3 linked regions of the Callithrix jacchus genome follow. The protein of the gene in region 3 purifies or fractionates together with the protein of the main gene of each other region. This does not show direct contact. Links are inferred from orthologs where the notes say so. Each region holds a gene or a part of one and is shown on either strand. Other genes may lie near its edges.

Region 1 (8,258 bases), on a different chromosome or scaffold from region 3:
GAAAACATGGTACCTATACACAATGGAGTACTATTTAGCCATAAAAAGAATGAGATCCAGTCATTTGCAACAACATGGATGAAACTGGAGATCATTATGTTAAGTGAAATAAGCCAGGCACAGAAAGACAAACGTCACATGTTCTCACTTATTTGTGGGATCTAAAAATCAAAACAATTAAGCTTATGGAGATGGAGAGTAGAAGAATGGTTACCAGAGGCTAGGAAGGGTAATCAGGGGCTGGTGGGGATGGTTAGCGAGCACAAGAAATATAGTTAGAAGAATGAATATGATCTACTATTTGATAGCACAATGGGGGTGACTATAGTCAATAACTTAATTGCACATTTTAAAATAATTTAAAGAGTGTAATTGGATTGTTTGTAACTCAAAGGATAAATGCTTAATGGGATGGATATATTATTCCCCATGATGTGCTTATTTCACATTGCATGCCTGTATCAAAATACCTTACGTGCCCTATAAATATATACACCTACTATATACCCACACAAATTTAAAAAATAAAAAAAATTAAAACTAAAAACTAAAAACATAAAGTGGCAGTTCCCCCAGCATTTTCAACTCATATCTCTCCCTATCACATCCCTTCGTTAGCAGTTATCACCTTTATAATTTACTCTTTGAAAATGCTTACTGCCTCTATTCCCTAGTAGGATGTTAACTCCATGAAGTTAGGGATTTGGGGGCTGTTTTGTTGCACTAAACATCAAGTACCTGATGGTCAATTCACCAAGTATTTAAGTTATAAGTTCTCCACCTCTTTGGTATCTCATGCATTACTTATCTTATCAGATTAATTTTATTATAGTAGTCATTTCATCCAGAGATGCCTGCGGAGTCTTTTGGGGGAATCATTAATGTTTCAAGAAAATGACTCTGATGTATGTGTTTTGCTGCCCTCTACATTGTAAAGATACTAGAAATATCTGTCCCTTATATATATATATTCATCCATATATACGTGTGGGAGTTTATTAAGTAGTATTAACTCACATGATCACAGGGTCCCACAATAGATCGTCTGCAAGCTGAGGGGCAAGGAAGCCAGCCCGAGTCCCAAAGCTGAAGAACTTGGAGTCCAATGTTCGAGGGTAGGAAGCATCCAGCATGGGAGAAAGATGTAGGCTGGGAGGCTAAGCCAGTCTAGCCTCTTCACATTTTTCTGCCTGCTTTATATCCTGGCTGTGCTGGCAGCTGATTAGATGGTACTCACCCAGATTGAGGATGGCTCTGCCTTCCCCAGCACACTGACTCAAATGTTTATCTCCTTTGGCAACACCCTCACAGACACACCCAGGATCGATACTTTGCATCCTTCAATCCAATCAAGTATTAACCATCACATTATCTAACATTTTAATTTTCCCAATTGATTTAAATATTTAGTTACTTTAAATAATATAATTAGCTATGATCGTGCCACTGCACATCAGCCTGGGCGACAGAATGAGACTCTGTCTCTAAAATGAATGAATGAATGAATATATGCACCTACCACCCCCCAAAAAAGGTATGAACTTGATGATAACCTCCATCTATCCATGTAGTCCCCCAATTCGTTGCCTTGCCCCCACCCTCAACTGAGGTAAATATCATCCTGAATCCCAAGTTTATTGTTTTTAAATTTCTTCTTAATGTAATTTGATTGCAACTACACAAAATCCTAAATAGTTCATATCCTTTATATTAGCAGCTTTTTTTTTTAAGAGACAGGGTCTTGCTCTGTCACCGAGGTCGGAGTGCAGTGGCACTGTCATAGCTCACTGCAGCCTTGAACCCCTGGGCTCAAGGGATCCTCCCACCTCAGCTTCCCAAGTAACTGGGATTACAGGTACACACCACCACACCTGGCAAATGTTTAAAATTTTTGTAGGGATGGGGATCTCACTTTGTTGCCCAGGGTGGTCTTGAACTCCTCTCTTCAAGAGATCATCCCACCGCGACCTCCCAAAGTGCTGGGATTACAGGCATAAGCCACTGCGCCCAGCCTATAGTAGTAGCTTTTAAGTTTATAAAAAGTGTGTTATGCTTTACATAATCTTTTGGGATTATAGTTCCTCCTCCTTAATATTCATCCATACTGTTGGGTGTTGTTCTAGTTCATTCATTATGACTCCTGTTGATGAGCATCCATTTATGTTTCCAGGTTTTGCTGTTGTGAACAGGATGCCATGCTGGTATGGTTTGAATATTTGTCCCCTCCAAAACTCATGTTGGAATTTAATTCCCAATGTAGCAGTATTGAGAGGTGGGGCCTTTAAGAGGTGAGTGGGTGTTGAGGTCTCTGTCCTGCCCTCATGAATGGATTAATCCACTAATGGGTTAACCCCTTAATGGGTTAGTAGATTAATGAGTTAAATGATTAATGGCTTATCATGGGAGTGGAACTAGTGGCTTTATAAAAACAGGAAGAGAGACCTGAGCTAGCATGCTCGGTCCCTTCACTGTGTGATACCCTGTGCTACGTTGGGACTCTGCAGAGAGTCCCTACCAGCAAGAAGGCCCTCACCAGTTGCAGCCCTTCAACCTTGGACTTCTCAGCCTCCATAACTGTAAGAAATAAATTGTTTTTGTTTAGAAATTACCCAGTTTCAGGTATTCTGTTGTAAGCAACAGAAAACAGACTAAGAAACAGGCATATCCTAGGTTTCTTGTGCAAGTGTCTCTCTTGGATACATTCATGAGAGTGGACTCACTGGACTGTAAGGTATGTATGTATTCACTGTAGGAGAAAATGCGAAAATATTTTCTAAAGTGTTTGCAATGATTTACATTCCTTCAGCAGGGCAAGAAGATCCTGTTGGCCTACATACTCTCCAACTGTTGGTACTGTCAGACTTTTACGTTTTTGCAATTTGAATGGGTTTAAAATACCATTTTATTACGTCTTGACTTGTATTTTCCTAATGACTTTGAACATCTCTTTATATGCTGGCTCTACATTTCCTTCTTCTCTGAAGTGGTCTAACAGAGCTTTTTTTTTTTTTTTTTTGGTACTATTATGACATCCAAGAAAACTAACAATGATTCTTGGCACTCTATTAGAAGTGTATGCATGCCAAATATGTTTCCACGGATTCAATTTCTTCTTTCATTTATTCATTCAACAAACATTTGCCCAGACCAGGGATGCAGGGGCAGAATGACAAGCTGGGATAATCAAAGTTCAACTGCTATGATTCGAATGTTTGTCTCCTCTGAAACTCACATTGAAATTGCCATTGTAACAGCATTAGGAGGTGGGGCTTTTAAAAAGTGAATAGGCCATGGAGGCTCCACTCTCATAAACTGATTAATGCTGTCATTAAGGGAGTGAGTTAGTTACCAAGAGTAACTAACTCAAGAGTGGGTTGTTATAAAGTGAGCCCAGGCCCTTGTGCTCTTTGTTCATATGCTTCCTTGCCCTCTCGTCCTCTGCCATGGAATAATGCAGCAAGAAGGATGCTGGCACTATGCTGGACTTCCCAATCTCCAGAACTATGAGCCAAATAAGCTTCTTTTCTTTATAAATTACCCAATCTGTGGTATTCTCCTATAGAAGCAGAACATGGACGAAGACACCAATTGTCTAAGAAAATAAAAATGAAATCAGACTATAAAAATGTGCCCTGCCATTCACCAGAATGGAAGAACAGACACATATAAAGCCAAATGCAAAATTCACAGGAAACATTATTTCTTCTAAGGACATGCTGCAGTTTTAATGCCATAAAGAACCCCTACTTTAGGTGACTATTGCTTCCTTAGTCATGGAGACACTTTGTTCTCTACAATCATAGACTATCAGAAATTGCTGTTTGAAATTACATCAGTAAGAGTGAAACATCAGACTCTTGAGATTCCAAGTCACTTCCGGAGAAGCAACATTCAATTTTCAACTCAGGTGCAGAGCTTTAGGCAAGAGTTATCTGGGGACACAAAATTCTACAACTAAATTGTTTCCAAGGAAACAGCACTCTGGGTTCACTTCACAGTCCAGACCTGACATTGACCCTTTACATAGAGGGTCAATTTACACATTGGAGGTGATAAGGGGCAGCAAACTGGTGGAAGGGTAGAAGCAGAGCCTTGTATTAAAGCTACATTTCCAAAGCAAGGGCATCATGACTATATAGATTTGACTTCATGAGGAAATAAAAATAATAACTGCTTTGAGCCCACTAAAACATTGCTTCATTTCAATTTCATCTCAACTCCACTATTCCTCAAAATCATGTAAGAAGTCTCTTTTCCTTTGCTTAGTGAGCTGCCCATGGTGCCCCTGGTATGCAGTCTCCCTTATTGATTGATGGATCTGTCTGACCAAGAATTAGTTTGAGGCTAATTGGACTAGGACACCTCTAACCTTCGAGATTGTTAAACCGAGGACCAGAGGGGATAAGACTGGATGGAGAACCCCTAGCCAGTCCACACTTCAGCCTACACCGGGTCCTCTCACAGAAAGGCTTTCAGCAGGGCATACAGGCTTCTAGCTCTGTCAGGAAGATTCCCTGGAGAGGAGATACTTGAACTTGGTTTTGAAGGATGAATAGACATTCTTAGGTGGAGGACTGCACGACTTCTTCCCCTTCTGCTCTAGTGACATCTCCCACAGGGCAGGGACATCTCCAGAATTTACACATTGGAGGTGATAAGGGGCAGCAAACTGGTGGAAGGGTAGAAGCAGAGCCTTGTATTAAAGCTACATTTCCAAAGCAAGGGCATCATGACTATATAGATTTGACTTCATGAGGAAATAAAGATAATAACTTTTCCTAAAGATTTTTATTGACATACTGCGTTAGACTAAAGACATATTCAAAATTATCAGTACTGGTACACAGTCCCTTTTTAGTTAGGGTAGATGGAGTGGGAGATCAGGTAGATTGTTGGAGCATTAAAACCCCGCATCCAAGACCCACAGGCACAGCAGGAGGGAGAACCCCGCACTCCGAGTTCTCCCCTTTTCCCACCTCATGGCATATCCTAGGAAGGCTTGCACAACCCTGATTTCTCCTCCTCCTTCCCTTGTGGTATGTCCTAGGAGAAGCCTGTAGTCAACGTGACATCTCCCCGCTTCTCATCCTGTGGTATCTGCCAGGAGATAGCCGCGGCCGCCCCTGATTCTTTCCAAGAGGCCCTTCAGTTTCTCTGAACGGTATCGAACGGACCCATAGACTACAGATCCAAAGACCCCTCCTCCAGTAAGCCCGCCCAGAGAAACGTCCCCACCCGTGCTTCCCGCCATCAGCGGGACAGCTCCACCTCCCTGCTCTGTGAGTTTAGAGGTGTCCTCATCCTCAATACGGAATGGACACTACTCCAACATGGTGTACCCCATGGGGAAGCGCGACTTGGGCGCGGCCATGTTCCCTACCTGAACACGTCGCGGAGGGGCACCGAACATCCCAAACCCCTCACTTCCGTAATTTCTCCATGTTAACTCCTGGCTATTAGCGGCTTCAAACGTGGTTTTGCGCACGCGCGGACCCCCCTTTCCCTCACTCATGCGAAGTCCCAAACCCCGAAAAAGGGCGGTGCTAGGGGTAGTGACCGGAAGCGGCTGCGGTTCTCGCCGGTTCTCAGCCGGGGTTACATAGTTGTCAGGAGGATTCGACGTTCAGTGCCCAGGGATGTGGAGGTGATGGGGGACCGGGGTGGGTGAGTGCTAGGCGATTCTGTGTGGTCAGTGATGGAATCGTTTGTCTAACTTGAGTTGGATGATTCGCTCATCGTTTTTCAGGCTTTTCTCTTTTCTAATGTCACCCTTAAGGTCTTAAAGTTCATTCTAAGCCCCATTGGGTTTGGAGCATTGTTTTTTAAGAGTGTTAACTCGTATTCATTTGTCTTTTACTGAGGAGTTATTCAAAAGTGGGGTTTTCAGTGTGCAAAAGTTTCTTTGTAATGGATCTGTAACCTTAGTTTTCTGTGTTAGAAAAACACCTACGTGGAGCTCATTCCTTGAAATACAAGGAGACTTACGGCCTAGTGCGTAGTGCATTTTTAGAAACGTTCTGTATATACTTGAAAATAATATTTAATTATTTAGTGGTCAATTGTGTCATATAAAGTCTGTCCTTTTTTGTCTATTTCTTCTTTTACTTCAGGAGAGAGAAATTCTCCACTGTGATGGTAATTTGTCCGTGTCTCCTTACTGCTGTCTGTGATCCACTGTGAGTTACTTTTTGTATGAAGTATGAGACTTAGGTCGAGGTGCATTAACTTGCTTATGGATGTCCAGACTCAAGCACTATTTGTTGAAAAGACTATCTTTCCTCCATTGACTTGTCTTACCATTGTCAAAAATAAGTTGGCCATACTTATGTGTGGGCTCTTTCTGGGTTTGCGATTCAGTTCCATTGTCTATGTGTCTATCCCTCTGCCAGTACTACCATGCTGTCTTGAATTGGATAGAGTGATTCCTCGCACTTTATTCTTTTTCAAAAGTGTTTTAATGCCTCTGTTTCCTTTGCCTTTCCCATACACATTTTAGAAAATCTTGTCTCTATCTACAAAGCATCTTGCTTGGATTTTGATAGGAATTGCATTAAACATGTTTACCAACTCGGAAAGAAGTTAAGTTTTAACTGTGACAAATCTTCCAATCCATGTATATAGTATGTCTCTGTTTATTTAAATCTTTAAAAATTTCTGTCAATGGTATATTGTAATTTTTATCACACAAGTTCTGTACACGTCTTATTTAAATTTATACCTAAGTGTTTAATTTTTTTGGAGTGGTCGTAAATGGTGTTCTCTTTTAAGTTGCTGCTTATATATAGGAATACAATTGAGTTTTGTCTGTTGGTCTTGTATCCTGCAGTCTTGCTGAGCTCAGTTATTAGGTTTTACACCTTTTTTGGTAGATTCCTTTGGTTTTCTCCATGGGCAATTGTGTCATATACAAACAGGGATAGTTTTATTTCTTTCTTTCCAATCTCTGTACCTCTGCTTTTCTTCCTTTGTTACACTGGCAAGAAGTTCCAGTACTATGTTGAATAAGAGTGGTGAAAGTGGACATCTTTGCATTGTTTTCAGTCTTAGGGGTAACATATTCAGCCTTTTACCATTAAGTATGATTTTAGCTGTAGGGCTTTCCTTTTTTGGACCCTCTTTTTTGATTTGAGGAAGTTCCCCTCTATTCCTAATTTGCAGGTAGTTTTTATCATGAATGGGTGTTGAATTTCATCAACATCATCTGAATTTTTATGATCTTGTGATTTTTTTTTCTTTTTTAGCTTGCCAATATGGAGGGTTACACTGATTGATTTTTGAATATTAAACTAGCCTTACATTCCTGAAATAAACCCTACTTGGTTGTGATACATAATTCTTCGGATATATTGCAGGAATTGATTAGCTAATGCTTTTTTTAAGCATTTTTGCATCTAAGTTCATGGGAAATATTGGTCTATAGTTTTCTTTTTTATACTATCTTTGTCTGGTTTTATTTTGTATTTTTTGAGACAGAATCTCACTGTTGCTCAGGCTGGAGTGCAGTGGTGTGATCACAGCTCACTGCCAGGCTCAAGTGATCCTTGCAACTCAGCCTCCTGAGTAGCTGGAACTGCAGGCACACACCACCACACCCAGCTAATTTTATTATTTTTTTGTGAACAGTGTCTCATTATGTTGCCCAGGCTGGTCTCAATCTCTTGGGCTCGAGCAGTCCTCCTGCCTCAGCCTCCCAAAGTGCTGGGATTACAGGTGTTAGCCACTGCTCTTGGCCTTGTTTGGCTTTAGTTTTAGGGTAATACTGGCCTCATTGAATGAGTTGGGGACTATTTTCTCCTCTTCTACTTCTTTTTTTTTTGAGATGGCGTCTCGCTCTGTCGCCAGGCTGGAGTGCGGCGGTGCAGTCTCAGCTCACTGCAACCTCTGCCTCCCAGGCTCAAGTGATTCTCCTGCTTCAGCCTCCCGAATAGCTGGGACTATAGGTGCACACCACTACGCCCAGCTAATTTTTTATTTTTAGTATAGATGGGGTTTTACCATGTTGACCAGTATGGTCTCGATCTCTTGACCTCATGATCCACCCTTCTCGACCTCCCAAAGTGCTGGGATTGCAGGCGTGAGCCACTGTGCCTGGCCTTCTCTTCTATTTTCCGGAAGAGATTGTGTGGAATGAGTACTAATTTTTATTTAAATCCTTAAATGTTTGGTAGACTTCTCCATTGAAGCCATCTGGGCCTGAAAACTTTCGTTTGGAAGCTTTTTGATCATGGCTTCAATATCTGTAATAGTTATGTAACTAT
Region 2 (8,225 bases), on a different chromosome or scaffold from region 3:
AGCCTCCCAAGTAGCCAGGACTACAGGAGCACACCACCACACTCAGCTAATTTTTGTATTTTGGCAGAGATGGGGTTTCACCATGTTGCTCAGGCTGGTCTTGAATTTCTGGACTCAAGCAATCCTCCTGCCTCGGTCTCCCCAAGTGCTGGGATTACAGGTGTGAGCCACCACACCCAGCTGCTTTTCTTTCTAGACTAATTTCCACTCTTCCCTACTTGAACTACGCCTCCTCCTCCAGATACCCACCATTTCCCACAACAGCCTATAAGGAGTCTGGGGGAGGGGCTCCTGTCCTCAGTCTCATGCTTCCCCACAGAGTACCATTAGAGTACCCCTCTCTGTCCTCTCACCTACTCTTCACAAGAAAGCAGGAGTAACTATTCCGACAGGTGAGCCTGGGTTGGGGGGAAAAGCAGGCATCTGTGGCCCCACCTCTTTGAAAGTCCCTGCATTCTCAAAGCCATCTGCTGGGAGAGGGTGCTTCCAGTGTATTCTCTACTCTGCCCCAAACCTCAGTAGTCATCTGAAGGCCTGCACTGCCTATGGCTAACTCATCTGCACTCACTGGACACTTGGATCTCCACCTGTCTACTCTATCTCCTGAATCTTTATTCTCCCAGCCATGAGAGAGAAAGTTTACTGATTTTCAAATCCCCAAAACCCCACCACTACTCTGTGCTTTCATCTCTCCAGTGTGCTCTCAAGCTGGAGGGCCCCCAGTCTGCTGGGCTGGCCACAGTCTACCTCACATCAAGAACCACCTTAGCTGGGGGCGGTGGCTCATGCCTATAATCCCAGCACTTCGGGAGGCCAAGGCGGGTGGATCATGAGGTCAAGAGAAGAGACCATCCTGGTCAACAAGGTGAAATCCCATCTCTACTAAAAATACAAAAATTAGCTGGGCATGGTGGTACGCGCCTGTAATCCCAGCTACTCGGGAGGCTGAGGCAGGAGAATTGCTTGAACCCAGAAGGCGGAGGTTGTGGTAAGCCGAGATCGTGCCATTGCACTCCAGTCTGGGTAACAACAGCGAAACTCCATCTCAAAAAAAAAACCACCTTAAAGCCAGGAGTGGTTGCTCATGCTTGTAATCTCAGTTCCAGCACTTTGGGAGGCTGAGGCAGGAGAATCACTTGAGGCTGAGTTCAAGACCAGCCTGGGCAACACAGTAAGACCCCCATCTCTACAAAAAAATACAAAGCCAGGCATAGTGACACACATCTGCAGTCCCAGCTTGAAGCCACTTGGGAGGCTGAGTCAAGAAAGTCGCTTGAGCCCAGGAGTTTGAGGCTGCAATGGGCTATGATCAGGCCACTGTGCTCCAGTATGAGCAACAGAGTGAGGCCTCGACTAGGAAAATAAAGCAAAAAGAACCACCATGGCCAGGCCCCGTGGCTCTCACCCGTAATCCCGGAGCTTTGGGAGGCAGAGGCAGGCAGATCACTTGAAGCTGGGAGTTCAAGACGAGCCAAGGCAACATGCCGAGACCCCATCTCTACTAAAAATGCAACAATTAGGCTTGGTGGCATATGCCTGCAATCTCAGCTACCTGGGAGGCTGAGGCATGAGAATCACTTGAACCTGGGAGGCAGAGGTTGCAGTAAGCTGAGATTGTGCCGCTGCACTCCAGCCTGGGCGACTCAGCAACATTCTATCTCAAAAAACAAACAAAAAAAAAACACGGGTACACATTGACTCTGACTTCACGCTTTTTCTGCTTCACTAATCTGCTGGGCAACCATCCAGTTCTGATTTTTGTATCATTTTTCTCCCATACTGTTACCTGACTTCTCAGATGTTCAAGTCCTAGTTCTCCTATTAGATCACAAGCTCCCTGAGGGCAGGGGCCTAGCACAATGCCTGGTACACAGGGACAGCACCACCTTTGGAATGTGAGAGTGGAGAGTCTACGTTCAGGTGCTGGGCTGGGCAAGATCAGTGGCTCAGGAGCTCACTATGGTCTGAGAGATGCAGAGGACAGTGAAGGGGCCATCACTCACGCAATCTGGAGAGCTCGGGTGCCCAGCACGCGGGCTCGCTCGTACTTGGTCATGTATGGTGTAGTGATTCGCTTCTGGTTGGCCTGTGGTCGCTCCCCAGAGGGAAGGATCTCAACATTCTCTTGGCCTTCCTGGACAAGATAAAAAAGAGAGAAAATCTCAGGTGGCATTTTTGGGTTACAGGGAGGGTGATAATGACAACAATCATAATCACCGCTCCTGCCACCATTAATGCTCACTGCATGCCAGGGGACCAGGTGACTGCTTCCTAATACCTCATGTCCCTTACAATAACCTTATGAGGCAGGAAGGTGCTGTTTAACTTGTCAGTGAACTAACTGCCCCAGAAGCCACTGGCTGCGGACCACATGGACAAAAGCTTTCAGGCCTAGCCCACAGGGCTGTTCTGCTGTGCAAGACTGGAACACAGCTCACTCTAACTGGGAATGCTTACGCCAGCGGGTAGGGGGCCCTGAACACAAACAGAAGGCAGATACATTCAGGTTACTGTCACCTGCCAGACTGTTTGGCAGCTTGGGCTGCAGAGGTGGGAGCCTGAGGCTGAATACTGACCTCTTCGGCATTCTCCAAGTCATCTAGCCCTTCATCCTCTTCCACGTCATCAAAGTCGTCACCATCAAAACTGTACAGGAAGAATAAATCAGTTAGTTAGAGCATCACTTACCAGAAACAAAGAGGGGCCGACCATGGTGGCTCACACCTGTAATCTTGGTACTTTGGGGGATGGAAATGGGTGGATCACTTGAGGCCAGGAGTTTGAGACCAGCCTAGCCAACATGGTGAAACCCCATCTCTACTAAGAATAGAAAAATTAGCTGGGCATGGTGGCCCATGCCTGTAATACCAGCTACTCAGGAGGCTGAGGCACGAGAATTGTTTGAACCCAGAAGGCGGAGGTTGCAGTGACCCAAGATCGTACCACTGCACTCCAGCCTGGGTAAAAGAACAAGAACCTGTCTCAAAAAAAAAAAAAAAAATCAATAAGTGCAAAGATATATGTCTCGCCCACTATATAGGAAGCACTCAATAAATATCTACTTAATAAGGATCAGCCGGGCATGGTGGCTCACACCTATAACCCCAGCACTTTGGGAGGCTGAGGCAGGTGGATCACTTGAGGTCAAGAGTTCGAGACCAGCCTAGCCAACATGGAAAAATCCCATCTCTGCTAAAAATACCAAAAATGGGCTGGGCGCGGTAGCTCAAGCCTGTAATCCCAGCACTTTGGGAGGCCAAGGTGGGTGGATCACGAAGTCAAGAGATCGAGACCATCCTGGTCAACATGGTGAAACCCCGTCTCTACTAAAAAAATACAAAAAATTAGCTGGGCATAGTGGCGGGTGCCTGTAATCCCAGCTACTCAGGAGGCTGCGGCAGGAGAATTGCCTGAACCCAGAAGGCGGAGGTTGCAGTGAGCCGAGATCTCGCCATTGCACTCCAGCCTGGGTAACAAGAGCGAAACTCCGTCTCAAAAAAAAAAAAACAAAACAAAACAAAAATGAGCCAGGTGTGGTTGGTGCCTGTAATGCCAGCTACTCAGGAGGCTGAGGCACGAGAATCACTTGAACCTGGGAGGCAGAGCTTGCAATGAGCTGAGGTCACACCATTGCACTCCAACTTGGGCAACAGAGTGACACTCCTTCTCAAAATAATAATAATAATAAGTAAATCAGACTTTTGTTCCATTTTACTCCTTCAATCTTTCCCCATCTGCCCCCAGATTTTGTTAGGACTCATTCATCATCGCTGTTTGCCTCTCTACTGGATCATTCTCATCAGCCTTTTTTTTATTTTTTTTTTAAGACAGAGTCTTACTCTGTCACCCAAGCTGGAGTGAAGTGGCGCAATCTCGGCTCACTGCAACCTCCGCCTCCTGGGTTCAAGCAATCCTCCTGTCTCAGCCCCCCGCGTAGCTGGGATTACAGGCATACACCACCATGCCCAGGTAATTTTTGTTTTGAGACGGAGTTTCGCTCTTGTTACCCAGTCTGGAGTGTAATGGTGCGATCTCGGCTCACTGCAACCTCCACCTCCTGGGTTCAGGCAATTCTCCTGCCTCAGCCCCCCGCGTAGCTGGGATTACAGGCATACACCACCATGCCCAGCTAATTTTTTGTATTTTTAGTAGAGACGGGGTTTCACCATGTTGACCAGGATGGTCTCCATCTCTTGACCTCGTGATCCACCTGCCTCAGCCTCCCAAAGTGCTGGGATTACAGGCTTGAGCCACCGCACCCGGCCAATTTTTGTATTTTTAGTAACGAAAGGGTTTCACCATGTTGACCAAGCTGGTCTTGAACTCCTAACCTCAGGTGATCCACCCTCCTTGGCCTCCCAAAGTGTTGGGATTAAAGGTGTGAGCCACCACTCGGCCCATCAGTATTTCAACATGTGCTTTTCCTCAACTAAAAAAAAAAAAAAAAACCCTTCCTTCTCTTCTCCCTCCCCCTACAGCCCTAATTCCATAGTGCCCTTTGAAGCAAAAATAAGTGAAAGAGCTGTCCCTCACTGTCTACAATTCCTCTCTTCCCATCCTGTCATAATCCCACTCCAAAAAGCCTTTCACACCAAGAGCTCCATCAAAACCCCTCTTCCCAAGTTCATTAATGATCTCCACGTTGCTAAATCCAATGGCCAATTCTCAATCTCATTTAGCCTGATCTACCAGCTGACACATTAGGCCACTCGCTCTCCTCACTTGACTCCAACGACACCTCACTCTCTTGGTGTTCCCCCACCTCCCTGGCTTCTCTTTTCCTCCAAGCACTCAACGTTTGAATGCCCGAACGCTCAGCCACGGGTCATCTCCTTTTCTCTACTGACACTGAGAATGTTGTAGCAATCCCACACGTTTCTTATTTTTATCTTCACACTAAATCTCTTTGTGCCCACACATCCAACAGGTAATTTTTTTGGCTCTACTTTTAAAATAATAATATATCCAGAATTCAAAACCACTTCTCACCACCTCTGCTCCTACCACCCTACCACAAGCTACTGACTTTCACCTAGATTACTGCAACCAGGCCGGGCACAGTGGCTCACACCTGTAATCCCAGCACTTTGGGAAGCTGAGACGGGTGGATCACTTGAGGTCAGGAGTTCGAGACCAGTCTGGCCAGCATGGTGAAACCCCATCTCTGCTAAAAACAAAACAGCCAGATGTGGTGGCACATGCCTGTAATCCCAGCTACTCGGGAGGCTGAGGCAAGAGAATCCCTCCTTGAACCTGGGCGGCAGAGGCTGCAGTGAGCTGAGATCGCGCCACTGCACTACAGAGCCTGGGCGACAGAGCAAGACTCCGTCTAAAAAAAAAATAAAAATAAGATTACTGCAACCAACCCTTCCAGACTTGTATTTAATGCCACCGGTGGAGCTGCCCCAGACCCTTCTCTGGAGAACTCCTATATTACATACTTCTAGAACTGGAGAAGCTCACGCGACTCCCATGACCTGTTTACTTACTTATGGGCCTGTGCCCCCTGTTCTAGAAAGCGAGCACGTGGAGGGCAGGGACGATTCCTCATTCACCTCAATATTCCCATGACACAGAGCCCGGCTCACCGAAAGACACCTTTCCTACGGATCCTATCCGGACCCTCGAGCCAGGAGCTTCCCGTGCCCGGTCTCCGGTCGGGCCGATGCTCCTGGGTCCCCGCCCTTTCCTTCCCCGGCACCGCCTGCCCCCTCAGGCCGCCAATCCCCTCAGACGTTGCCCCTCGACGCCAGGCTCCTCAGCCGCCTTCGACCCACGCCTTGCCTCATCTGCCCCTTCTGAGGTTGCCGCAAAGGCCACTTGGCTCTCGCACTCACTTGTCCTCGTTGTCTGACATGACACCCTAGTCTCTGCGACGCCGCTGCTCCCCAGTGCCGCGCGGAGACCCGCAAACGGCTCCACTACGACTCGCGCGGCGCCACGATTATCCTGCGCTTGCGCGGTAACCCAGAGGCATCACTTCCGGGAGGCAGGACGGCGCGAGAGAGAAAGGGCGCATGCGTTGACTCGTGGGCGCGTTACCATGGTAGCCACGGTAGCCACAGTTGTTAGTTGCCAGCTCTAGCAGCCCAGATCGCGTAGGATTTCTACGTGGCACCGGTGCGGCTGCGGCTGTAAAGCAGTGGTCACCGCCTCCGAGAGCTCACCTCTATGTGGAGAAGGGAGCACCCAGAGGAGGTCTTAGGGTGAAATTTCAATTTTGGCATATCTCTCAGTGGGTACTGTTCTGATCTGGCTATGTTAACACTGCCTTCCTCCCGAGGGGACTTCCCTGCCACAGGCGCTGGGTCAGAATGAGGACTCTGTGTGTGTATCTGTCTGTGTCCGGATGGGAGGTTTGGGCACTGTCTCGATATTAAATGGCGGCATCACGATTCTCTGGCTGGATCCCCGCTTCCAGACTTCTAGGGTGGTGGGCGTGGGGAAGAGGAAATTAGGGATAGGAGACAGAGGGTGTGTCTTTGCATCCTTCCCTCCTCAGGGTCCTTGCATGGCTTCACAGAAGATAGAAGTAGTGACCAAAGCAACGGGGTTCCGGCGCCGCCCCAAGAAGACCACTTACACCCCGGGGACCTGCGAGCTGCTCGAAGGTCAGTGCTTTAAAGCAGCGATCCCCAGCCTTTTTGGCACCAGGGACCGCTGTCGTGGAAGACAAGAACGGTTTCGGGATGAAACTGTTCCACCTCAGATCATCAGGCATTCCTTAGATTCTCATAAGGAGCCTGCAACCTAGATCCCACGCGTGCGCAGTTCACAATAGGGTTCACGCTCCTATGAGAATCTAAGGCTGCCACTGACCTGAAAGGAGGCGGTGACGCTCGCTAGCCCGCTGCTCACCTCCTGCTGTGCGGCCCTGTTCCTAACAGGCCAGGGACTGGTGTCAGTCCAGGAACGGGGGACGGGGCAGGTGGGGGACGGGTGGAAACCCGAGTTAAAGGATGAGAAAAGAATGATGGTAGTTACCCTCTGTAACTCAGTTCTCCCCTACCTGACCTGTGGCTTAGCAATTATTGCTATTTTCCTTTACAGATAAGGAGCCTGGGGTTCAGGAAGCTTCCAAGTTCTACTGCATATACCTTAGTGGGCAGGAGCGGGGGAGGGAGGGAAGGTTCAAGGTGCTACAGCTTGCCAAAAGTCAACTAACATTTTTAGAGTAATTAATTCCTATGCATGCTTTAGATCACACTTTCAACTTTCCCGGGAAGACCTGTCTCCTCCTTACCACCACAGTAGGCTCGACTGTTGTGTGCCCGCACACATTTTCCTTCACTGGGCTCAGTCACTTGGTGTCCCATCTATCCCTCTTTCATCAGCAGGAATCGTGTCTGTTTCAACTCACGACTGTACCTCCAGCCTCTGAAACGTGATGAACAAGTGTTCATGTGTTCTTTTACTCAACCACGTTTTGCTTTTTGAGACAGAGTCTCACTCTGTCACCCAGGCTCGAGTGCAGTGGCGCGATCTCATCTCACTGCAACCTCCGCCTCCCAGGTTCAAGGGATTCTCCTGCCTCAACCTCCCAAGTAGCTGGGATTGCAGGAACACACCACCATGCCCAGCTTTTTTTTTTTTTTTTTTTTTTTGTATTTTTAGTAGAGATGGATGGGGTTTCACCATGTTGGCCAGGATGGTCTCGATCTCCTGACCTCGTGATCTGCTCACCTCAGCCTCCCAAAGTGTTGGGATTACAGGTGTGAGCCACCGCACCTGGCCAACATTTTCTTATGTTTGAAACACAGTTTTGCTCGTTACCCAGGCTGGAGTGCAGTGATGCCATCTCGGCTCACCACAACCTCTGCCTCCCAGGTTCAAGCGATTCTCGTGCCTCAGCCTCCCGAATAGCTGGGATTACAGGCATGTGCCACCGCGCCTGGCTAATTTTGTATTTTTAGTAGAGACAGGGTTTCTCCATGTTGGTCAGGCTGGTCTCAAACTCCTGACCTCAGATGATTCGCCCGCCTCAGCCTCCCGAATAGCTGGGATTACAGGCATGAGCCACCGTGCCCCACCAACAACAACATGTTTAACTCTTTAATGTGCCTTAGACTCTGTTTTAGGTGCTGGGGATACCACAGTGAAAAAAGAAAAAGAAGAAAAAATATTTGTTAACAGAGGGCAGAAATTTTATTAAACCAGCAAAAATTCTTATCATGAGCTAAATAGAAAGATAAATAATAAAATAAAATATATAGAATTTTAGGTGG
Region 3 (8,158 bases):
AGTAACATATACCTGCACAGTCTTCCTCCATCAGAAGAAATATAGACACATCGATCTGTAAGATTTGTTGAGATGGAAACAAATTCATTGATATATCCTGCTCTTCTCATCAGTCGAAATGTATTCACTAGCTTTTTATGGTCTCTAATGACACCCAAGATGTTACCTGAGCAAAAAGAAAGACTAGGTAAGTCAGAAATAAAAAATAAATCCATCCTGATTTAATATATTCAACCAATAAAAACAATAAGCAGCACTAAGCAGTCATTTGAAAATACTGTTAACACCTGCAACCAGTCCAAGGGGTTGCAGGGAAGCAATGAAGGAAGAATGGTTAAGGGCCAGTCCTTCCACATGCTGGCCAAGGAATACTGGAAAAGCTAGCTCTATTTTCCTCAACTGTCAGCACAGTGCTGGGAGCATGAACTTGGTGCCCAAAACCATCTGGGTTTGAACATTGTCCATCACTTTCATAGGCTGGTAGTAAAGATTGAACAAGCTGATCATTTAAAGTACTGAGAATTCTGCCTATTACCTACTGCTATTATTAAACTGCGCTTGTTTAATCATCATCTGTGAAATAAGGAAAATGAACTTTGCCTCCAAAGATTAGTGGGAGGATTCAAAGAGGTACTGGGTAAAAGTGCAGAGTGAAGGCTCATGCAGTGTTAGCCTCTGGGATACAATGAACGAGGCAGTAGGTTAACAGCTCTGCTGAGGCTCTGACCCCTTTCTCACCAGCCCATATGAAAAAGAGTTAATGTCTCTCAGAGTCAGAGGAAGGGGGAGAGGAAGAGAGAACAGACAAGGGATAAGGGATAAGCTCATGGAGCTTACTAGTGAGAGGACAGGCACACAGAGCAGCAAATCAAAAGCAGAAAGGAAGAGAATACACTTGCTGCTAAGGCTGAAAGACTTTGAAGGAGGCAGGAAGAGGTATATGAAAGAAGTAACTGGAGTGTGAGCCAAGGAGAGGGACCCTCTTACCACAGGCTGCTGACATACTGATGATCAGACAGCTAAACAGTCAATTCACTGTAAGAGTTGATCTGATAATTTTTGCAGAGTGACTCCAATATTTAACTTGCACTTAAAGATACCATGTTGAACTTATTCCATTATGGATAAGCCAGCAACTGCAAAAGGGCAGAAAGCAGCCACTCTCTGCAATGTTACCCTTTAGCTCTAACAGCTATATCCTCTCAGAACCTTGGACAACCCAGCCAATAAAGTAACTGTTTCTGTTACCATTGCTTTTTCTACTTTTAGGTGAAGGTCAACTTGGACCCAGAATTAAAGTGTATTTGTGCTTTAAATATCAGGATAATAATGGATTCCCTCCCCCTCTTTACAGACTATCCAGGATCAACACGTCTCTATAATATACTCACCATTAAGAAAGACAAGAAACACATTTGGGTAAGAGAGCTCTTCCCCACATAATAAATTCACATCTTCTACTCCCAAATTACTGGCTAATTTAACAATAGGTCCATCTTCCATATCAGTTGTGATGTGTGTCATAAGGGCCAGGTTTTTAACCAAGCCACATGCCTAAAAAACAAAAGATAGCCATTTCTAAGAACGAACATTAGTAATACAAAGTACAGTTTGCATTTGAAAATAGCTCACTACTTTGCTGGCAGCAATGCAAAGTGGTACAACTTTGTAGGGGACACTTTGGTGATTCACACAAATGCCTTTAAAAAATATATATCCTTTAACTCAGAGGAATTTATCTTCATAACAAGCAAGGATATAAAATAGATTTAGCTACAGAAATGCTCAGCACAGTACTATTTGTAATTATAAATGGTGACGTGCCCAACAAGTTGATTATATTAACAATTACTCCCAGACAATGGAACATTACAGTCATTATGACATTGTATAAAATAAGTAAAGGAAAACATTAATAAAGGCAGCTACATAAAAATATAAAACTTCTGGCCTGAAATGAGAGACTATAAAATAACTGGCCAGTATCCTAAAGTTTCTTGGTCATGAAAGGTAAATAAAGAAAGACTGAAAAATACATTCAGATTAAAAGAGACAAGGAGACATGACACCTAAAAACAATGTGTGATTCTGCACCAGAAAGAAGACAACAGTGGGACAACTGGCAAAATCTGAATAAGATCCATAGATTACAGTATTGTTCAGTCTCATGAGGTTAATAACAGTGTTATGGTTATGTAAGATGTTCACAGTTGGGAATCTAGATGAAGGATTGTGGAAAATCTTCATACTAGTTTTGTAAGTTTTTTGTACATCTAAAATTATTTCAAAATGAAAAGGAGATAAGTGGTTTTAAACTTCTATACATTCCGCAAAGTTCTAAAACAAAAATACCAACAAGGACAGAATACAGTGAATAGAAAAAAATACTTAAAGACAGATGATTTGTAAGATTTTATCTACAAGTCTTAAAATCATCTGCTGCAGTAATGCACAAAATAGCTACTTTGCTGAAGTTAGCTGAAACAATTTCTGGGAAATGAAATGTTTCAAAGTTTAAGATATATAAATTATAAAAAATTTGACAAACTGCATAATTTAGTGTCAATTTCCATATGGTTTAAGATAAATTAGAAGAATAATTTATAAAAACCACAACTCTACACAGACTCCTATTTTCATCTCTTCCAAATAATAACAAATCCCTACACTTTGGAATCTACATCTTTTACTTGTCATAACTTAAGTTATTAATTCAGCATATGTTCATGGGGCCTCTACTCTAACCAAGCCTCTGTGTTAGGAGCTTGAGATACAATGGTGAACCTCCCTTCTTCCAGATTTTACAACTTAGAAGGAATAAAATCAAGTGAAACTAACAATATTAACACAAAGGAGAAAGGACCATGACACAGAGAATAGCGGGTGGTATAGAAGTAAACCAATGTAAACTCCCTGGCTTGGTGTTTAGGCAATTGCTTGTGTTTCCAATATAAGTGAGTTAGAATCCACATTAGGTAATGGACTGTATACTCCTAATTGGCTGTGACTGAGCCCACCTAAGGACAATAAGGAGCTGCTCAAAAAGAGCTTCTCATGAGCATGAGAGATGATAGGTCTTTCAATCTGCCTTCACAGTCTTATTCCTTCTGTGCATGGTTTGATTTTGGGATAAACTAAAATAAGCAAGAGAAACATGGACTGTATTACTTTTAGCTAACTTACTGAATCAAATGCTTCTGCAGGTCCTAGTTTTAGAATGACACTAAGGCAGTCTTCCAAGCATGTCAATATTTCTTTGCCAGATAAATGGCAGACCAAAAAAGGATATGGCCTGGGAGATAGGAACAGAAAGGGACCACACCCACCCCACACTATGCACAGACATAGGTATCACTTCTGACACAGCATCAAGACTCCTCAGATTCCTTACCTCTCCTTCAGGAGTGTCTGAAGGACAGAGCATTCCCCACTGAGACGGCTGGAGGGAGCGAGGACCACTCACTTTTCTTGTTTTTTCAAACTGGGAAGAGATTCTTGTCATCATGCCCAGTGCAGATATATATGACAAGCGAGACAGCACTTGGGTCACACCCTGGCGGTCCATTTTAAATCTCTTTAGAGACCAGTTTCCCTGTAGGGAGATGAAAGACACAACACTATTCCTAATCCAATCCTATGTTGTCTGATACTGTGCAGTAACTACAGGAAGTTCATTACAGGAATTTCATGCTTTCGAAATTAGAACCATGCACATATTCAGAAATCAAAGCATCACAATTAAAATGAAAACTTAGTCAAGTCATTCACTGGGGATTTCTAGGAAGATAATGAACATTACTATGTCTAGCAACCATCTCAGAAGTGTCTGATGCATCAACCTTACTATATCAGAGCAGTCACCTTCTGAGGAACTAATTCTATACTGAAAAGCCAGTTCGACCAGAGATTTCCATGGGAAGTCATAAACTAACTGATAAAACACCAGCAACAAAGAGATCATTTCATGTTGGAATGTGCGATTATTTGGATGTTTTCCAAAGTTACTCTTAAGAATAGCAAAATGTAGCAACAGAAAAATAACTCTGATAGCACTTATTTGGGATAATGAACAAACTGATGGCTTCCTAATCAAGGTTTAAGGAATCTAAAAATAGTATATATATTCATATTAAGAAATATATATTCTCTGTGGCCACTGTATCATTATTAAAATAGATTCATATGAAATAAATCCTGAATAATAAATTTACTTTATCTTCTTATGCATTAAATGTTATATTATTTTAAACATATTATTTTATAATTGTATATATTGAAAATATCCTCAAGGAGAACTTACAGATTAAGGTCAAAAATTTTTCAAATGTAAATTCATAGTAACATGAATTAATAGTAGAAAACAGTATTCATCAAAAAAGCAACACAGGTTGAGTGTGGTGGCTCACGCCTATAATCCCAGCACTTTGGGAGGCTGAGGTGGGCAGATCACTTGAGGTCAGGAGTCTGAGATTAACCTGCCAATGTGGCAAAACCTCGTCTCTACTAAAAATACAAAAACTAGCTGGGTGTGGTGGCACATGTCTGTGCTCCCAGCTACTTGGGAGGCTGAGGTGGGAGGATCAATTGAGCCCAAAAGGCAGGCAGAGGCTGTAGGGAGCTGAGATTGCACCACTGTACTCCAGCCTGGAGGTAAGACCCTGTCTCAGTTAAAAAAAAAAAAGCAAAGCAGACAATAATATGTGAACAGAATTGTTGACTCAAGTTTTCTAGTTCCAAAAAGAACAACTGCACCTGCCATGGTTCTCCATTCCTCCTCAGAGGACCCAATCAAAGCTAGGAGTGTTCTCTTGAGAAAAATGCACATAGAAACAAGAACAAAAATTTAATATTCATTTTGGACTCTTGTGGATTCCAGATTAAAAACCCTTGTAGCAGAAAAATTGCTAGGGTTTCAGGAAACGATTAGGTGATCTTTTGCATTAAAATATGTAACTTTGGGGGAGCTCCCTCACAAATTAAAGTTTGCTCACTATTACAGTCAAGATTGATCACTTTGGAACCTTAAGTTTCTGAAATGTGGAAAAGAGCTAAGCTCTAAGAAACTCTATTATAAGGCAAATAAACAGAGCAACCATATATATTCCACAAATTAACCTCTCATATTATTACTTATTTCATTAACTCCTTTTATCCTCGGAGGGAGAATGAATCTAGTAAACTGACTTATGCCCAGAGAGTAAGAGTAAATAAGGTAAATAAGTATTCAGCACACAGCTAAAATAAGGCAGCAGCTGTTGGCAAGTAGCAAGTAGATGGGAGTAAAGCCAAGATGTTCGGCAAGAGAATTTGTTCTTGTATTCTGCAGGAGTATTACAAAGGGGAGAGACGAGAAACACAAGAGGTCTAAAACTGGTCCTTTGGGGAAAACATATTTGGTAAAAGCATTCTGCTAATAGCAACTCAGAATTTTAAAGGTTGATCTTTTTCTGTTGCCTAGAGTGGGATACACCTGTAACTAGGCCTGCTACTGATTTTTGTAATAAGCAGTTCTGTCAGGGAGGTAAAGCAGTTTCATTTAGGGGAAAAAGAACTACTTAAAATAGCTCTTTTGACCTGAAAATCATGGGTGAAGAAGCAAGAAAAAGTAATTCTAAGAGAAGTGTGTTCAAGCACTCTTTGGAGGATTCTCTTCAAATATTCAGGATCCACCTCAGACAAGTTCGGACCACCAGAGTTTATATGCTTAAACAGGGACAAAGGCGTGGTTCACCTCAAATTTAGATATAGCTGTCATTGCAAGGGCCACTAAGACCCACTATAAAGTTCCAAAGTCAAGTATTGAAGCGAGTCTGCAATAATTCTTTCATCATTAAGGGAATCAACATGGCAGATTATATCATGCTTTGTTGGGGCAAAATCTCATCCATAAAACTAATTTTATGTCTGGCATACAAAACATGAACCAGACTTCATCAGATAGACCTATAGTTGTCATGCTTTAAGAAAGGGAGCAAAAACCCATCTGATAACCTTTTATGAATAGCCTGAGACCCTGACTACACAGCAGCTGCCGAGAGCTGAATTCATCCAGAACTAAATTCATTGCTTATGTGAGGAACAGCTGATAGGTCTTTGAAGAATATAAAACTCCTGTGAAATGAAACGTTTTGTATTATTTTGGACAAAAGGTTGCTAACTAAGAAACCTGTCTGAAATGTGTCAATTTTACTACAGAAGTAAAAGAGGAAAGTTTTCTTTAAAAGAATGGTTATTAACAGTTAAATGAAGATTTTTCCGCTACGCATCAGTATCTATTTTCTTATTGCCTCATATAACAGAAACTATAATTTCGCAGGAAAGTTATAAATAAGAAAATTCCTATTGATGACACTTCAGACTTTCTTTCAAAGTAAAAATGTGTGCTTTGTAAACATTCCTTTTAATATATATATATTTCACCTGGATTCTCCAAGTGCTTTACGTTTCCATTCCATTGAACAGACTTCCAGGTAAATTAGAAAATGCTGAAAGAGTGACTGGAGACTTACAGTAGAAATAGCGTTCACCATGCCATTGGTGATCTGGTCTTGGCGCATGTGTTTTACAACATCAAACTGGGCTGCTCTCTGCTTAGGAATCACCTGGTCAGCAATCTTTTTCATTTCAGAATTAAATTTTTTGAACAAGTCTTCAAAAAGAAGAGATAAAAGCTAAAAAAATAAAAGGTATATGGTGATTTTTCAAAAAGCATTGCTAAATTATTTTAATAAACTTTAGGTCTTAAGAGTTTAAAAAAATAAGATGGAGAAACTGCTTAAAACAGAAAAAATAGGTATTCTCAAATTCAGTTTAATAGATATGTACATAATTTTCTACGTGCTTAACACTGTGCTAGGTATTTAAACGAAAGCAAAGATGATATCATCACTGCATTCAAAGCTGTTTCATCTAGACCAGTCCTTCCAGACTTTTAGATTTCATTGACCAATGACCTAATTTTTAATTTTACAGATAAAGTTATACATTAAAACTAAAAAGGATGTAGAGAGAAGAATTACCATGAAAAACTCTGAAGATAGCCAAGAGGTTTCCTGTATCATTGGTAAAGATGTAAATTGGCACAATCACTTAGAAAACAGTTTGCCATTATCTGCCCATCCCTATGCCCCAACAGTTCCTCTCCTAGGTATACCTACTATAGGAGTGGTTCTCAAACTTTAGCATTTGCAGTAATCACTCCAGGGGATTAAAACAGAAACTGCAGGCCCTACTCTTACAATTTCTATCTCAGTAGGTCTAAGGTAGTGCCCACAAATGTGAATGTCTAATCAGCTCCCAGGAGATGCCAGTGCTGCGGGCAGGAGGAGGGCACTCAAGAAGCTTATTTATATTAGCTATTTGTAGCAGCTAAAATCTGGAAACCATACAAATAATATGTAGACAAGTTCTGGTATACTCATACAATGAAACAATATGAAACAATGAAAATGAACAAAAAATAACCACAAAATCATGGCTGAGTATTAAAAACAAATACTCAGCAAAAGAAACCAGACATAAAACAACATATATATGACATGATTCCATTTATATAAAGTTCAAAGCCCAGCCCAACTACATTATATTGTTTAGGAAGGTACAATTAAGTGGTTAAACTTTAAAGAAAGTTAGGATGCAATATAATGTAAAAGAAGGAATCAGTTAAATTTTAAGGACTTCTTAAAGGCCAAATGTGGACTGCCACACAAGTTCTGAATTCTTCTAAAGCCCCGGCACAGGAAGTGTCCACACCCACTCAAAGTTCCTCTCTGTGGAGTGCTCATGAAAGGCTGCAGTGAGGCAAAAGACCTGAGAAAGACCCCTTTGCTGGAACACAAGCAATAAAACCCTACCTATTTCCCCAGGCTTTCTTGCATAGGAAGTAACACCTAAGTCCCTGGGAAGGGGAAGGATACCCTCCTGCCTAGCAAAGTCCCAGCAGACAAAAATAACCTGCTCTCAGAGGCAAAACTCTGTACCAAATCCTCCCTGCTCTCCCAACAAGCTCTGTACCTACAGTAACGAGCAACAACAGTCTACCCCTGGAAGAAGACCAGCCAAACCCTCTGATTCCAGGAAAAGGTACAATGCCAGAGGGAAGAGAAGGGAGAAGCATCTTACCCTAGGGTAGGAGCAGGAAAACTTGTTGGGCAAAGAT

Evidence for each region. The genes of interacting proteins can lie anywhere in the genome.
Region 1: the proteins of POLR3B (region 3) and UXT purify together in Homo sapiens (affinity purification with mass spectrometry; 3 studies listed by BioGRID and IntAct, counting the BioPlex papers as one, with this or other methods). This does not show direct contact. The link is inferred for Callithrix jacchus from reciprocal best matches to the Homo sapiens genes POLR3B and UXT.
Region 2: the proteins of POLR3B (region 3) and POLR2F purify together in Homo sapiens (affinity purification with mass spectrometry; 5 studies listed by BioGRID and IntAct, with this or other methods). This does not show direct contact. The link is inferred for Callithrix jacchus from reciprocal best matches to the Homo sapiens genes POLR3B and POLR2F.

The regions. Positions count from the first base shown.
Region 1 is NC_133524.1:48,731,588-48,739,845, forward strand, and holds the start of UXT (protein UXT), read right to left. Parts: upstream 5,474-8,258; 5' UTR 5,411-5,473; coding exon 5,381-5,410; intron 1-5,380. UniProt on the Homo sapiens protein: Involved in gene transcription regulation. Acts in concert with the corepressor URI1 to regulate androgen receptor AR-mediated transcription. Together with URI1, associates with chromatin to the NKX3-1 promoter region.
Region 2 is NC_133502.1:208,953,850-208,962,074, reverse strand, and holds the start of POLR2F (DNA-directed RNA polymerases I, II, and III subunit RPABC2), read right to left. Parts: upstream 5,707-8,225; 5' UTR 5,552-5,706; coding exon 5,490-5,551; intron 2,647-5,489; coding exon 2,577-2,646; intron 2,135-2,576; coding exon 2,004-2,134; intron 1-2,003. Other genes in the region: C1H22orf23 (UPF0193 protein EVG1), read left to right, coding at 6,512-6,611. UniProt on the Homo sapiens protein: DNA-dependent RNA polymerase catalyzes the transcription of DNA into RNA using the four ribonucleoside triphosphates as substrates.
Region 3 is NC_133510.1:109,297,421-109,305,578, reverse strand, and holds part of POLR3B (DNA-directed RNA polymerase III subunit RPC2), read right to left. Parts: intron 6,672-8,158; coding exon 6,510-6,671; intron 3,593-6,509; coding exon 3,392-3,592; intron 1,555-3,391; coding exon 1,392-1,554; intron 167-1,391; coding exon 13-166; intron 1-12. UniProt on the Homo sapiens protein: Catalytic core component of RNA polymerase III (Pol III), a DNA-dependent RNA polymerase which synthesizes small non-coding RNAs using the four ribonucleoside triphosphates as substrates.